Callithrix jacchus: one gene and its partners. The protein of the gene in region 1 binds, or shares a complex with, the protein of each later gene. Links are inferred from orthologs where the notes say so. Each region holds a gene or a part of one and is shown on either strand. Other genes may lie near its edges. The genes, in order: SORT1, GRN and NTS.

Evidence for each region.
Region 2: the proteins of SORT1 (region 1) and GRN are in contact, whole or in part, in a crystal structure (PDB 8T8S), measured with the Homo sapiens proteins. The link is inferred for Callithrix jacchus from reciprocal best matches to the Homo sapiens genes SORT1 and GRN. Residues at the interface, in NP_002950.3 of Homo sapiens: Leu108, Gly110, Ser111, Val112, Ser113, Leu114, Ile174, Gly175, Pro176, Lys260, Tyr304, Ser305, Phe306, Gly307, Leu308, Phe314, Ala315, Ser316, Arg325, Ile327, Phe350, Tyr351, Ser352, Ile353, Leu354, Tyr395, Thr398, Gly399, Thr402, Phe404; in NP_002078.1 of Homo sapiens: Pro578, Arg579, Trp580, Asp581, Ala582, Pro583, Arg585, Arg590, Gln591, Leu592, Leu593.
Region 3: the proteins of SORT1 (region 1) and NTS are in contact, whole or in part, in a crystal structure (PDB 4PO7), measured with the Homo sapiens proteins. The link is inferred for Callithrix jacchus from reciprocal best matches to the Homo sapiens genes SORT1 and NTS. Residues at the interface, in NP_002950.3 of Homo sapiens: Val112, Ser113, Leu114, Ser115, Trp116, Lys260, Tyr304, Ser305, Phe306, Gly307, Leu308, Phe314, Ser316, Arg325, Ile327, Phe350, Tyr351, Ser352, Ile353, Tyr395, Gly399, Thr570, Gly571, Leu572, Ala573, Trp586, Trp597; in NP_006174.1 of Homo sapiens: Leu152, Tyr153, Glu154, Asn155, Pro160, Tyr161, Ile162, Leu163.

The regions. Positions count from the first base shown.
Region 1 is NC_133508.1:147,277,466-147,282,124, reverse strand, and holds the start of SORT1 (sortilin), read left to right. Parts: upstream 1-1,371; 5' UTR 1,372-1,436; coding exon 1,437-1,742; intron 1,743-2,047; exon of another isoform or gene 2,048-2,156; intron 2,157-4,659.
Region 2 is NC_133506.1:71,185,889-71,190,659, reverse strand, and holds the start of GRN (progranulin), read right to left. Parts: upstream 3,280-4,771; 5' UTR 3,247-3,279; intron 3,004-3,246; 5' UTR 2,964-3,003; intron 324-2,963; 5' UTR 317-323; coding exon 179-316; intron 57-178; coding exon 1-56. UniProt on the Homo sapiens protein: Secreted protein that acts as a key regulator of lysosomal function and as a growth factor involved in inflammation, wound healing and cell proliferation. Regulates protein trafficking to lysosomes, and also the activity of lysosomal enzymes.
Region 3 is NC_133510.1:95,528,295-95,533,017, reverse strand, and holds the start of NTS (neurotensin/neuromedin N), read left to right. Parts: upstream 1-1,585; 5' UTR 1,586-1,694; coding exon 1,695-1,767; intron 1,768-3,902; coding exon 3,903-3,964; intron 3,965-4,723. UniProt on the Homo sapiens protein: Neurotensin may play an endocrine or paracrine role in the regulation of fat metabolism. It causes contraction of smooth muscle.

The DNA of each region.
Region 1 (4,659 bases):
CCAGTTTTCATCAGCTTTATCTTGTCAGTCCAGTAACTGGTAACTTAAAGACTATTCTTGTGATTTTACTCTCCTGCTCAGATGGCATTCAAAAACATTTTTCACTTCTCACGTCTTACTATGGTTGTTTTGGGAAAATTTTTAAATTCTTAAGTCTTTTTGTTTGAAAGTTAACGTGACTAGAAGTATTTTAATGTAAATATTGGGTTGCTGCGTTGTATCATTTTGCTGTACATTGTATACCCTCATTTGGTTTTATGGCCAGCGTATAGTTAAAAGTCATCTTTACTTTCTTTGAGTGTAACGATTTGCATATTTTGTAGCTTTCTATTTGCTACCTTTTCTACTCAACAATTTCTAACTTTCCAAAGGGACAGAGTCAGTTTAAGGATTCAGAACTGGTTTTACCTGTACTACGTGTTGTAGAAGTTATGTGTGCAGCTTCTGCAGTAAAGGGAACAGCGTAGGGCTTTTATTTTATTCATTGGAGGTGGATTGGGGTTCTAATTTAGAGGACATCACATACTGGAACCAAACTTGTGCGAAGCTCTCACTGCAGAGCTAAGGCATTCTTGTAAAGTACATGTGCATCTAGGAAATTATCATGTAAACGGTAGGCATTGGGTCATTTGCCCCCTTTTACCTGCCCCTAATGTCTAAGTTACATTCGAAGTACTGGAAAACCTGTAATTCCGCCTTTGGCCTACCTCCCCGCAGAAGAGGAAGGCGAAAGAGGCTAAACGTGTGGAAAGTCTATTCTTCAGGCTTGCAGGAGTCTCGGATGTCCTGTCGTCTGTCTCCGTAGGATGTGACCCACACCAGTTCGCATTCACCTTGGCAACAAGGGGGCTGCTTAGCCGACAATGGGCGCTCCAGTGAGCGGGGTTTATAAAAACCTGAAGCCCCGGTTCATGATGGAGCTCCTTTTTCCAGCTGAGCGAGCTCAGGGATTCCCCGGGGGAGATTTTCCAGGCTCTGCCTCACCGAAGGAATTTTAGGGGTGTCTCTGGGGAACAAGAGGGAAGTAACACAGCTCCAACTTGAGGGCGCTAGAGGTGCGGCGAGGGGTCGCGGCGCCAGGAGCCCGGGGCTCGGCGGGAAGGTGGGAAAAGCTCTTACGTGAACTCAGTCAGCCGGGCCCTGGAGACGCTGGGCGAGGCGGGGTTGACCTCAGCAGTCTCTGCCACGTTCCAGCCAATCAGTCCCGCATCTTGGCATCCGAATCCAGGACCCCCGAAGCCGGAGGCGACGCGAGCCAATGAGAAGTGGGCCGGGAAAGAGGGACAGGCGGCCAGCCTATGGGGCGGAGAGGCCCGGCCGCGCGTATCCAAGGAGCGCCGCGCTCGGCTCGGGGGTGTGGCGCGCGCCGGCGGGGGTAGGCGGGCGCGCCGGGCGGCAGGTGTCGGCGGCGTCGGCGGCGTCGGCTTTCGGCGGCGATGGAGCGACCCCGAGGAGCTGCGGCCGTCCTCCTGCGCTGGCCCCACGGCCTCGGCCTCTTTCTTCTCCTGCAGCTGCTGCCGCTTGCGACCTTCGGCCAGGACCGGCTGGACGCGCCGCCGCCGCCTGCTGCGCCGCTGCTGCGCTGGTCCGGCCCCATTGGGGTGAGCTGGGGGCTGCGGGCGGCGGCGGCCGGGGGCGCGTTTCCCCGCGGCGGCCGTTGGCGTCGCAGCGCGCCCGGCGAGGACGAGGAATGCGGCCGGGTCCGGGATTTCGTCGCCAAGCTGGCCAACAACACGCACCAGGTGAGCGGGCGCCGGGGCCGGGCGCCGCTCGGCTTCGAGGTGCCGCCAGTGCGCCCCTCCCGGCCCGCGCGCCTAGCTCGCCCCGCGACTCCCGAAGGAGACCCCGGCCCCACCGCGTCCGCGCCACCCCGGGCCGCAGCTCGGAAACTGCGGCGGGCAGGCGGGCGGAGTCGGGCCCGGGCGGCCGGCTGGGCTGTGTTTCGTCACAGGGGAGGCAATCTTAGACTTCCACCGCATTCTTCTTTTTTTTTTTTTTTTTTTTTTTTTTTTAAGTTGTCAAAATCTCTTGAGCGTCATTGTTTTCCGTCTGTATAAAAAATCAGGACCCAGTAAAGCTGTTAGGCCCCAGGAAGCTGGAGGAGTAATTAATTAACTCTTGAGCGGTTGCAGAAGTTGGGCTGCGCAGAAGCAAAGGTGTGTCCTCCCTGGGTCAGTACTTTCGGGGTGGAGAGGCGGGAGTTCAGGAGGCCAGAAGCAGCGGTCGGGTCACCGTGTGTGTTTTGATAGTTAAGGGGACTAGCTTGGAAATGAGATGGTAGTATTTATGTGATCTCTCTTACTCCTTCAGATTTGACCTTCTGTCGTGGTACGGAACCCTGACTAGTATGTCTACATCTGTGGTGATAAGATTTTCAATACTTAGGAAAGGAATTGCATACATTCTGCTTTGAGCCAGTTCTCCGTCAAAAGACTTTCAGAATTGTGGTATTTCTGTCCCTGGGGACAAGCAAGCTCAACCTTTGCACACTACTGGATTGACAAAACCAGTTATTAAGAAAGTCCTGGCTTCTTGCTTCTGCACAACTTGGGCATCTTCTTTTTCTCTATAATTAACAATTTAATTCTTGCTAGCTACATTTGCATAATGTATTTTCAATTCTATATATTTTCTTGCTTGCTTGTTTTCCTCTTTCACAGAGAATGAATTGCACTTGGGGGTAGGGATGGGTGGCCAAGGCTCTGTGCTTGCACTTGTCTTTCTGTAATCACATTTCAATATCAGCCAAGCCTCAGTTTCCCCTTGGACTGCCCAGTTATCTGGACCATACTTGTTACCTGTGATAGAATTCTCTGATCTGGGGACACAAGACACAAGTATTCAGGAATAACTGTGCTTAGTGCAGCTGGAGCAGCAGTTGTATAAAGGAGGCCAAGCTAGTGCTGAAGGGTGGGACAGATTGAGTAGAATGAGTACTGGGAAGTCTTCCTACTTGATGAGAAATTAAAAAAAAAATAATAGAATAGACTTCCTTCTCACAGTGGGGGGTTGAGAAAGGCTTTACAACACTGATGCTTAATTTATACTGGACCACTTCCTTCCCTGAGCCAGCTGGACACAGCATTCTTATTCCATATTTCAAATTCTTCTCTTGCTGGTTGACCTAACTTTAGGTCTGCAGCTACTCCTGGATTTAGATTTACTCCTTTTTTTTTTTTTTTTTTTTTTTTGGACAGGGTCTTACCTCAGCCTTCTGAGTAGCTGGGACTACAGGTGTGCACCACTATGCCTAGCTAATTTTTGTGTAATTACTACTTTTTTGAGATGAGGTCTCACTCTTTTGCCCAGGCTGGAATGCATTGGTGCGATCACATCTCACTGCAGCCCTGACCTCCTGGGTGCAAGTGATCCTCCCACGTCAGCCTCCCAGGTAGCTGGGACTACAGGCACATGCATCTAGCTAATTGTTCTTTTCTTTTTTCTTTTTTGGAGACAGGGTTTTGCCCAGTTGCCCAGGCTGGTCTTGAACTCCTGGGCTCAAGTGCTCCGCCCACCTTAGCCTTCCACAGAGCTGGGATTAGAGGCCTGAGCTACTATGCCCTGCCTCTGTTTATTCCTTGAGGCAGAGTCTTCCTGGTTAGTTTGAATTGATATGTCATTTGTAATATATTGATTGATTCCAAAGCAAGAGGTTGAGAAAACCAGCTCAGGGGTTCTAAGGCCAAATCTATGGATGAGCCAAACTAAAACCACTCCTTCTTTAAGAAATTTTCTTTTATTTCTTTCATTTAGCAGTTTCTAATGATTTTTTTTTTTTTTAGCTTTTCTCTCCCAGTGTTTTTTCAGTGACCTTATTTATAATAGCTATTTTGGCCAGGCACCATGGCTCACATTTGTAATCCCAGCACTGTGGGAGGTCAAGGCAGGTGGATCACTTGAGGTCAAGAGTTCGAGACTAGCCTGACTAACATGATGAAACCCTGTTTCTACTAAAAATACAAAAATTAACCAGGCTCAGTGTCATGCACCTGTAATCCCAGCTACTCCGGAGGCTGATGCATGAGGATCACTTGAACCCAGGAGGCAGAGGTTGCAGTGAGCCTAGATCACACCACTGCACTCCAGTCTGGGTGACAGAGCGAGACTCTGTCTCAAAAAAAAAAAAAATTGCCCTTGTTGATCATCTGTGGTCTCATCCTTTCTGTATCTGGTTTAAAAAAAGAAAAGTGGAGCCTTTGTTTAATATCCTTTACCTCAAAAGTGGTTAAGTAAAGTACCACTTCCTTAACCAAGAATTGTTATGTAGTAGCCTGTTCTATTTATTTATTTGTTTTTAGAAGTCATAAAGAATCCTGACCTGTATTAAAGAGATCTAGTATTTTGGGACCCTTTATAAAACAGTGTGAAATAAAAGTATCAGCATGACGGAACAACTTTTAATCAGAGATATTGTATGCTTTGTACAACTGGGGAAGGAAAGTGCTCTTAGAATCATTTTCCTATATAATATGACAAGATTTGAGTCCCAAGAAAAATCAAAAGTTCACAGTTCTCTTATTTCTTTTAACTTGGTGCTGTTCGTTTCAAGCCACATTCATTCATATCATCCATGTATATGAATGCTCTCCAAATGCCTAGATCTGTGCTAGATGCTGGAGGTGCCAAGATACAAAGAAAAGATCATTTAGACTGGAGAAC
Region 2 (4,771 bases), on another chromosome or scaffold:
GCATCAACCTGGCAGGGGCCACCCAGAGGCCTGCTCAGTGTTGTGGGCCATTTATCCTGGAAAGACAGGGGAGATGATAAACCACAGACTGGCATCTGGCATCCTCCTCCGGCAATCCAAGATGACCCTTTGGGAAAACCCAGGCTTCCAGCTCTTGCCTAGGCTGAGGGGCGCTCACCAGAAGGGGGCTGCAGCAGCTGTAGCTGGCTCCTCCGGGGTCCAGGCAGCAGGCCACAGGGCAGAACTGACCATCTGGGCACCAAGTTCCAGCCACCAGCCCTGCTGTTAAGGCCACCCAGCTCACCAGGGTCCACATGGTCTGCCTGCAAAGTACCAAGGAGCATCTGGCAACTGCTTAAGCCCATTCCACCCTTGATTCTGAGGCCACTCAGTCCCCCAGCCCCAGGCCAAGGTCCTGGCCTGGGACTGCCTGAGCCTCTTCAACACCTCCCTGTCCAGGCAGGCAAAAAGCTGCAGGGGCTAAGTCGGCTGACTACAGCGCCCTGTGTGTGACACACGCCTCAGCGCGTGCGGACCTGTGAGCATGAATGCTGACATGTGTATACCTGTGCGTCTGAATCCCCAACGCATGGTCTAACAGCTGGGCCTCGCTGGGCAGGCTTACAAGTCAGGAAGATGTGATTTTTGGGGGTCTGATCTGTGCAGATGTGGGATATCTCTGAGGTGAGGGGAAGGCATCAGTAGCCATGGGAGAGGACAGGGCTGGAGGGCAGAGAGGGAGTCCCCCCCCAAAAAACCAGGGTTCCCCTCCAGATGCCTCCTTGCCTGACATCATGTTCATACCTGTACCCCAGTAAGGCTTGCGGGAAGCAGCCACATGAGGACATGAGAAACCACAGGGGTGAGAAGGTTGTGAAAAAGGAAGTATGGTGGCTAGCAGAGTCTGGGCTGCCCTCCCCAGAGGCCAGTCACCACCTGCCATTAATGTCCCCTCCTCGCCAAGGGAAAGGGACACAGGCTGAGTCAGCCTTTGAGACACCTGTGTTCTGAGGGTCCCCCACACCTCTAGGGCCCTCTGAGATTCCCCAAGCATGCTAATCCCCATCCCTGCCTCTCCCTCTATTCTGGAAGTGAAACTCAGCCACATGTGGAGAGAGACCACGTGTGACCACTGGGCTGCCCATCTGAGTCACCAGGAGGAACTGAGCCTTGAGTCTCTGTGGGGAGCAGCCTCTCACTTCCTAAACAACTCTTCTCCCAGGCTCAGCTAGCCCAGCTAGCTCAGGGGGGTGGCCAGAGAGGTTACACAGCCTGAAGGAGTGAAAACAGTCTTGTAACTGGCTTCTAAGCCAGTTACAAGACACTTCATATTTTATTTCTGTGCAACCACCATCCAAAGTAGTAATTAACATCTTTACTTTTATTTTAGAGATGAGGTATTGCTATGTTACCCAGGCTGGACTCAAACTCTTGGGATCAAGCAATCCTCCCACCTCAGCCTCCCAAGTAGCTGCGACTTCAGGTGCGTGCCACCACACCTGCTCATTTTTTTTTTGAGACGAAGTTTTGCTCTGTCGCCCATGCTGGAGTGCAATGGCATGATCTCGGCTCACTGCAACCTCTGCCTCCTGGGTTCAAGTGATTCTCCTGCCTCAGCCTCCTGAGTAGCTAGGACTATAGGCACATGACACCATATCCAGCTAATTTTTGTATTTTTAGTAGAGATGTGGTTTCACCATGTTAGCCAGGATGGTCCTGATCTCTTGACCCGGTGATCTGCCTGCCTCAACCTCCCAAAGTGCTGGGATTACAGGCATGAGCCACCGCATCCAGCTACCACACCGTTTTATATAAGGGACTTGAGCATCTGCAGATTTTGGGGTCCTGAACCCAGTTCCATGAAGGGACACCTATAACACGTCACACATCAGGTCATTGTGACAACAGGCTTTGATGGGCCCAGAACATATTGGACCTGGGTTCATATTACTAGCGGCACGATGGACAGTGCCTGGAAATGGACCCTAAGCCCCAGGGGGATAGATGCATCAGGTAGGACAAAAACGGTACAGGGACTGCCTGGAAATCGCACTTGGGTCCTAATCCTAGAATTGCCAACTGTGATGGCCTGAGAAGTTGCTCCCTGTCTGTGCCTCAGTTCCCCCAGGAGTCTCTGTGTGGACACCACTGTGGGGGAGTGGCAGGAAATCTCCCCACCCAGTCACTCACACCCTCTGCTCCACCTGGCTTTCCTCAAGTGCCCCTCCCCTAAGTCAACATCCCCAAGAGGCCACCTCCTGGCCAGATAAGGGTGAAGTTGACTGGTACTGGACAGTGGACCCTCTCCTCAGCCTCACAGCTCCTGGGCAAAGCACCTGCAGCTGGCACCACATGCTTCCTGGGTGTTCTCAGCAGGCTGTCTGCTGCCCTGGCTTGCTGGGAAGGGGAGCCTGTCTGCACAGGACTGTTCGGCTCCCTGGTGAGTTACCTGTGCATGTGCCCCCTCCTGTTTACACTGAGTTGAAGGAGTATACTGTACGTTTCTACTCAATACATGCACGGGCATACAGAAGCAGGGATGAGGAGGAGAGCCAAACACACCCTCTCATCGCCACCCTACACCACCAAAACAGCCAGAAAGGACAGCAGCCTCTTCAAGCCCTAGCTCTGTTATCTTCCACTAGGTGGCACTCCCCGACTCCGAGTGCCAAGCGGAGAGGAAATTCCCAAAAGGGGAGCCAACCTCGCTGCAAATGAGCAGGAAAAGGTGGCTGGGAGAGGCGGAAGTTAGCTCGTCCCACCCCCTACAAGAGGAAGTAAGGAGGAGCCAGACCAGGTTCTGTCACCACTCCCAAGTCCCTACTACCTTCGAGAAGCCAAAGTCTCAGGTCCGATTCCCAGGCCCTTGGAGCTCCCAGCCCAGGGTCGCGCGCCCCTCTGGCTCCAGGCTGCCGCGGGGACCACCCAGCACCACCGCGAGAGGGGAAGACGCCGGCACCTACCGATAGCGGTAGATCTGGCGCAAGAATGGCGTGGTCCCTGCTTTGGGGGAAAGGACTTCAGCTTCCCGGAATGCTGGGGAGGGAGAGCCCCCTTCTAACGGGGGTCACTGCAATTACTGCTTCCTCTCCCCCATATAACTCCTTCCAGTGTATAGGAACGCCCAAAGGAGTTTCAATAAGCGGGTATTCTGTCGTCTCCGGCTGATACTCCAGGGTAACCCCAAGCGCACATGGCCCTGGCCAGGCCCCTGGGTAGGAGAGGTCTGCGCGGCCGCCCTCCTACCTGCGTTCGGGTCCGCGGTCCCTGGGTAGCAGCAGCCAGTCAAGCAGCTCACGGACTACAAACCCCAGCGCGATGACCCGCCCACCTCAGTTTCCATTGGCCAGAGGTCCGGGATACGACGCTTCCATTGGCTACTTATCGACGTAGAGGCGGGGCCAGCCTGGGATGCTGTGTTTTTTTTCTACTCAAATCACTCACCTCCCGGCTTCCTTTCGCCCCACACCCCATTTCTAGGGATCATGTGATTGGGGAATCATGTGACGCCGGGCCAGCCTCAACAGGGCAGCCGGTGCTCTCCTTGCTGCCTTCCCACACCCATCCTGCAGGCGCCTGGGGGAGTTTGCTAGAGATGATAGCGTGTGTGGGGCATTGGGAATATTTGTGCTCTCCTTTTTATTTTTCTTTTCTTTTTTTTTTTTTTAATTTCCCCTTTCTATTTTTTAGAGTGATGGTTGCCCTAGCTGATCATAGCTTACTACAGCCTGCAACTCCTGATCCCAAAGCGATCTTCCCACTGCAGCCCCTCAAGGCGCTGGGATTACAGGCGTGAGCTACCGGGCTGGCTCCTTCGCTCCCATTCTATCCTGCCCTGCCCTGCCCTGTCCCGTCCTGCCCTATTCTGCAAACTCGGATGACATGCTAGGCAGGCCCCAGACGGAGTTGAAGGATGGATTTGAAGACAAAGATAAGCAGCCCCAAGCCCTTTCCTCAAGGAGTCAGCGGGGCGGGAGCGGGGGGCAGGGGTTGGTAGGAGACAGGCTCAAGCTGGATCTTATTTATTTATTTTTGAGACGGAGTTTCGCTCTTGTTACCCAGGCTGGAGTACAATGGCGCGATCTTGGCTCACCGCAACCTCTGCCTCCTGGGTTCAGGCAATTCTCCTGCCTTGGCCTCCTGAGTAGCTGGGATTACAGGCACTCACCACCGTGCCCAGCTAATTTTTTGTATTTTTAGTAGAGACGGGGTTTCACTATGTTGACCAGGATGGTCTCGATCTCTTGACCTTGTGATCTACCCGCCTCGGCCTCCCAAAGTGCTGGGATTACAGGCGTGAGCCACAGCGCCTGGCATTGGATCTAATTTAAGATAAAAGATTGTGCGCAGGTGCCAGGTGTACGGAGTAGATTGGCTTCAAGTGGGGAAAAAGCGGTTTTGTTGTTGTTTTCTTTCTTTCTTTTTTGAGACAGAGTCTAGCTCTGTAGCCCAGGCTGGAGTGCAGTGGCGCGATCTCTGCTAACTGCAACCTCCGCTTCCCGGCAAGCTATTCTCCTGCCTCAGGCTCCCAAGTAGCTGGGATTACAGGCGCCTGGCACCACGCCCAGCTTGCTTGCTTGATTGATTGATATTTAGTAGAGACAAGGGTTTCACTGTGTTGGCCATGCTGGACTCGAACTTCTGACCTCATGATCCACCAGCCTCGGCCTCCCAAAGTGCTGGGATTACAAGCGTGAGCCACCGCGCCGGGCCGGGAGAAGAGAGATTTAATTCCACTTCAGGATCATCTCCTTGAGCTGAGTCTGGGAAG
Region 3 (4,723 bases), on another chromosome or scaffold:
AAAATAAAAAGCGTTTCAAGCTTCCATTGCTCCCCCTAACGGTAGGAAACCAGAAAACATCTAGATGTATATATTTCACATTTCTTTGTCAATTAAATGCTTTACAGAAACCTTCCTCCAAGTATGTTCAATATTGTGTTTTATGTAAGTTTACAAAATGAACTAAAAATAATAAATATATCAACTATTATTAAATTCTTGTTATATGAAAGAGTCCTTGCTATCTTAAGTAATTATTAAATGTTTGGAATTCATCTCTTTCCTTAAGTTTAGGATAAAGGTGAAAAAGTTAATCTCATAGACTGTATAATGTAAATCAATTCTCTAGAGGAATCAATCCTATTTTTTCTCAACTGTTACTACATGATTGATTTATTTAAAAATTAAACCAGGCTCAGACAACTTTACATTTAAATATTTACTCTAACAGCACTGACTTGTCAAATCACTCCATGTATCTTGAAATGCTGAATACAAGAAGAAAGTTTTATGTTAAAAGGCGCTTTGAGCAATTTTCTTTTGAGAACTCAGGCAAAGAATGGGTATCAGTGTAACTCATGAAATACAAGAAGACGATCATAGAAAAGTGACTTTGGTGAATGGTGGTTATTTAGGATTGTCTCCTTTCCAAAAGCACAATCTCATTTTTATGATGAATAGAGGATTATCACAGGGAAAAAAGTTGATGCAATAATAAAAACTAATGAGAGGAGAATCACACAAAGAATAAGACACAGCATCAAAAATGAATTCAAAAAGAGCAGAACAATATAGGTACAAAAAGAGATAATGAACAGGAAAAAAAAAGTCAGTGAGACAACAATACACATTTTTACCTGAGAGCATGTAAGTAATTTAGAGCTGGATTTTATAAACATGAAATTGTTTTTCTAATACATTCAACCAAAAGTCAGCATACATAGTTCAGTCATCTCTCATTACTTACAATAAAATATTTTCCATTTGTTAGGAAATAATATCTTATTCCCTGGATCTATTATTTCTTTTTTATTGATTTTCTTTCTAATCTCCAAATTTATTTACTTAATTTTTATAACTGATTCTCTGTCTATATTCTGTCTTATTCTAGCATGGATTATTTAAAACCTGTATTAGTTTTGGAACCAGTAAACATTTGCTCAGAAGTTTGGATTACCAGAAAAGAACCCTACTCTTTAAGAACTTCCCAGCCTAAGAAGTCACTGATTTCATGGATTCATCCTGGAGATTTTGCTTAAAAATTAGAAATAACAGATCTCATGTTTTACAAAATCAAAATGACAACTTTTGGAGTGGGGGAATGAGAAATGGGAAAAGAGATCAGTATGCTGTATATAGCAGTGCTTTTGAATGACTCCTTCTGTGCGTCAGAAATCCAAAGCAGCAGCAGCAATTAGGGAAGATCGTCACTTTCACTCAAGGTTCAGAAATGGGGGTGGAAAAAGGGGGGACAAATGAATCGGAGAGGAGAAAGAAGGGAGGGATAGAGGTGAAGATAGGGCACATCCTGCAAAGATAATGCCTGTACAATCAATGACATCATCCTGCTGCTTATATATGTAGGGGAATGGCCAGAGCACTTCTCACAGTTCACTCACTTTCAAAGCCAGCTGAAGGCAAGAGGAAGCACGAGAGAGAGCCCCCTTCAGTGTCCTTCTGACTTTTATGAACTTGGCTTGCTAGAAGGCTGAAAGATGATGGCAGGAATGAAAATCCAGCTTGTATGCATTCTACTCCTGGCTTTCAGCTCCTTGAGTCTGTGCTCAGGTAAGCAAAACTGCATTTCACAACTCCCTGAAGTGATTTATTTTTTCTCTTTTGCATTGTGTTGCTACTTATGTTAATGTTTTTAGGATTTACCTGTCAGTGATAGAAACTGTGAATATCTTTTTCTCTGCCTTTATGATTACAATAACTGAGAGATTTATTTTCCCTTTTAAAATCTGCAAAGCAATAAAAGGGATTTCAATGAAACACTGCATGACCCCCTTTGTAATGCAACCATGAGGAAAAAAATACTACAAAACTTTCAATTAGGCTGGTCATTATCTAATGAGAAGTACATAAGCAGTGTCTGTCAACCTGCGAACTCATCATTAATCCCATCCATTCAAAATGTTTTATTCTCATTCTCATTCATCTCTTAGCAAGCGGTGGCCCTCATGCCATTTTAATAGTCCTCATATTATCTTCCTACTTGTTTGTGTTAAGATAACACATGAAGTGCAAATTGATGCTTAGTGAATAAATAAAGCATTATTTGTAGAAAATTATTTCTAGAAAAATACAAAAATATTCCCAGTCCTTTTTGAGAATACATTGTGCATAGTCTAATAAGTATGCTATTAATATAACAGTTTGGTACTTTTTCTCCATGCCATTTAAATTAATACAGAATTCAGTTGGCCAATTGGTATTCTTATATTGATGGAAATGATTTGACTTTAGAGTGTTTTGCATGCGGTATGAAAGGAGAAGTTATATAGTCCTAAATGTCTATGAATAACTCACTTTGAAAATGAGATGTAAATTGAAAGGTGTAACATGAAATATTACAACCATTGCAAAAAGCTCTACTTAGTATTTAAGAAATATTGGAATGACCACTTCAAAATGAAAAGAACACCTTAGAAAGAAAATGCAGCAAAAATAATTTAACCTGTTCTATGCCTTTAGGTATCATAAATATGACATTGAAATGTTTAATTCAAACTCATGCTACAATTTGATATGAAATTGAAATCTAAGAAGATATGTCATTTATGCGATTATTTTAATCATCAGAAAATAACTTTAAATCTTATGAGAAAAACAAACATTTTTACAATTATGAGTTTATCTGAAAGTTATGTGAGATTAAAGCTTCAATACTTCTGAAAGAAAAACTGGATTATTGATGAAGCACTGTGTTTGGTAACTTGAAAGTACTTGCTGTAATAATGCAAAAGTTATGAGGATTTTGATATATACATTGTTCATAAATGAATAATAGAATTTGCCATTCCTTTTGAAAAATAGATTATGTACCTAACAAATAGGGAGAAAGATCTCTTGTACAATTTAGGTTCTAGGTAATATCAAACAAATGGTTTCTCTGAGTGTGACATTTCTTTTTAATGGGTGTGTAATACAAGGAAGATAGAGTCATTTTTAACTTTATTTTTATTATAGCATTTTCTAAATTTTCCTTCTCTGTAAAATATTCATTAACAGAAACTCAGATAGAGTTTTTTAAAAATCCCGTGATCCATAGTCAATGCTGTCGTACATACGATGTTGAACAGCTCCACTTTTGCTTAAGCAATTTCCTTAAATGCTTCTGATAAAATTAAAAATACATAATTCCAAATTCTTGTTTAAAGTACAAATGCAGTTCCTTCAAAGTGTGTTTTTGTTAAAAAAAAAATCTCAAGTTAAGTAAATCTCAGTATCTTTATTATTCAAAAATTATCAATAAGCAATTCCCTTTGGTTTTGACTTGAAAAAGTCTCTTATATAATCTTCATTAAGTTGTGTATTTAAATGTTAATATGCATATTTTCTATATATGTAAACTATGGCTGGTAAAAAATAAACTACCCTAGCATATTTGGTAAAATATGTATTACACAATATGATCACATTTTTAAAATCTGAAATTTAAAGAATAAACAACTCCAAGTCATCAATAGCTGTCTGAACAAACAGTCATATGCATTTTCTTAGAAGTGCTTCTATTATTTTAGCTTCCTATTATGCTAAAATATAACTATAACTTGTTGTTTAGGGTTACTATTTTTAAGAAAATACATTAGAAAGACTAAACCTCTAAAACTAATATTTTAGATCAACCTAAAATTTGTAGATTATGATATAATTATATGATATGTGATTATAGTAAACGTGATTTTGATTTTACTCAGATTCAGAAGAGGAAATGAAAGCATTAGAAGCAGATTTGATGACCAATATGCATACATCAAAGGTAACTTTTTATTTTCCTTAACTCTTGGTTGAAGACCATATGAACTTTCATTATAAACATGGTATGTTTTTCCTATAGTAATAACTTCCCATCAAGATTGAAATGTTCCTTGAGAGGCATTTCCTTTTTGAAAAAAATTTCTTTTAGTAAAAAGAAGTCAAAGGTGCTGATATGAGAGGCAAAGAAACTAGAGTTCTATCAATCAGCATGTTGCAATTTTAATTAATTGTCACACATATTTACGTGGCTGTAAATGTTTTTAAAGAAACTTGTTTCCATGCCTTTTACATTGGGTATGATGAAAGGTGTATTGGCCTCAAGTTAAATGAAAACAAAGTGAACTCTTTGCTTTTTGCTATTATATTAGGGGAAATAAAAAGGTATTCTTAAATTAGAAGTAAAAGTTCATGACACCCTGTGAAAGAAATGTAGAAGAAAGGGGAGAGCAGTGGACTGGCAAACAAGAGCTTTGAGATCTAATCCTGAAACAGTGACTTATAAATATTTGATCTTTAGCAAGTGGATTAATTCACCTTGCTTACTTGTGTTTCCTTGTTTTTAAATGCAGGGGTTGCAGTTCATAATCTTCTAGACATTTACCGTTCTACAATGCATTTAAGAATTACTAAACTGTACTCTTCATTGTATGTCTGGATTTAAATTCTCCCTATAACAGACATGTTATTTTTACATGTTCCTTTTTTAATTTTTTTAATTGAGCCAAATGCAACTTTGTATACTGGGCCCTATTACTCCTCT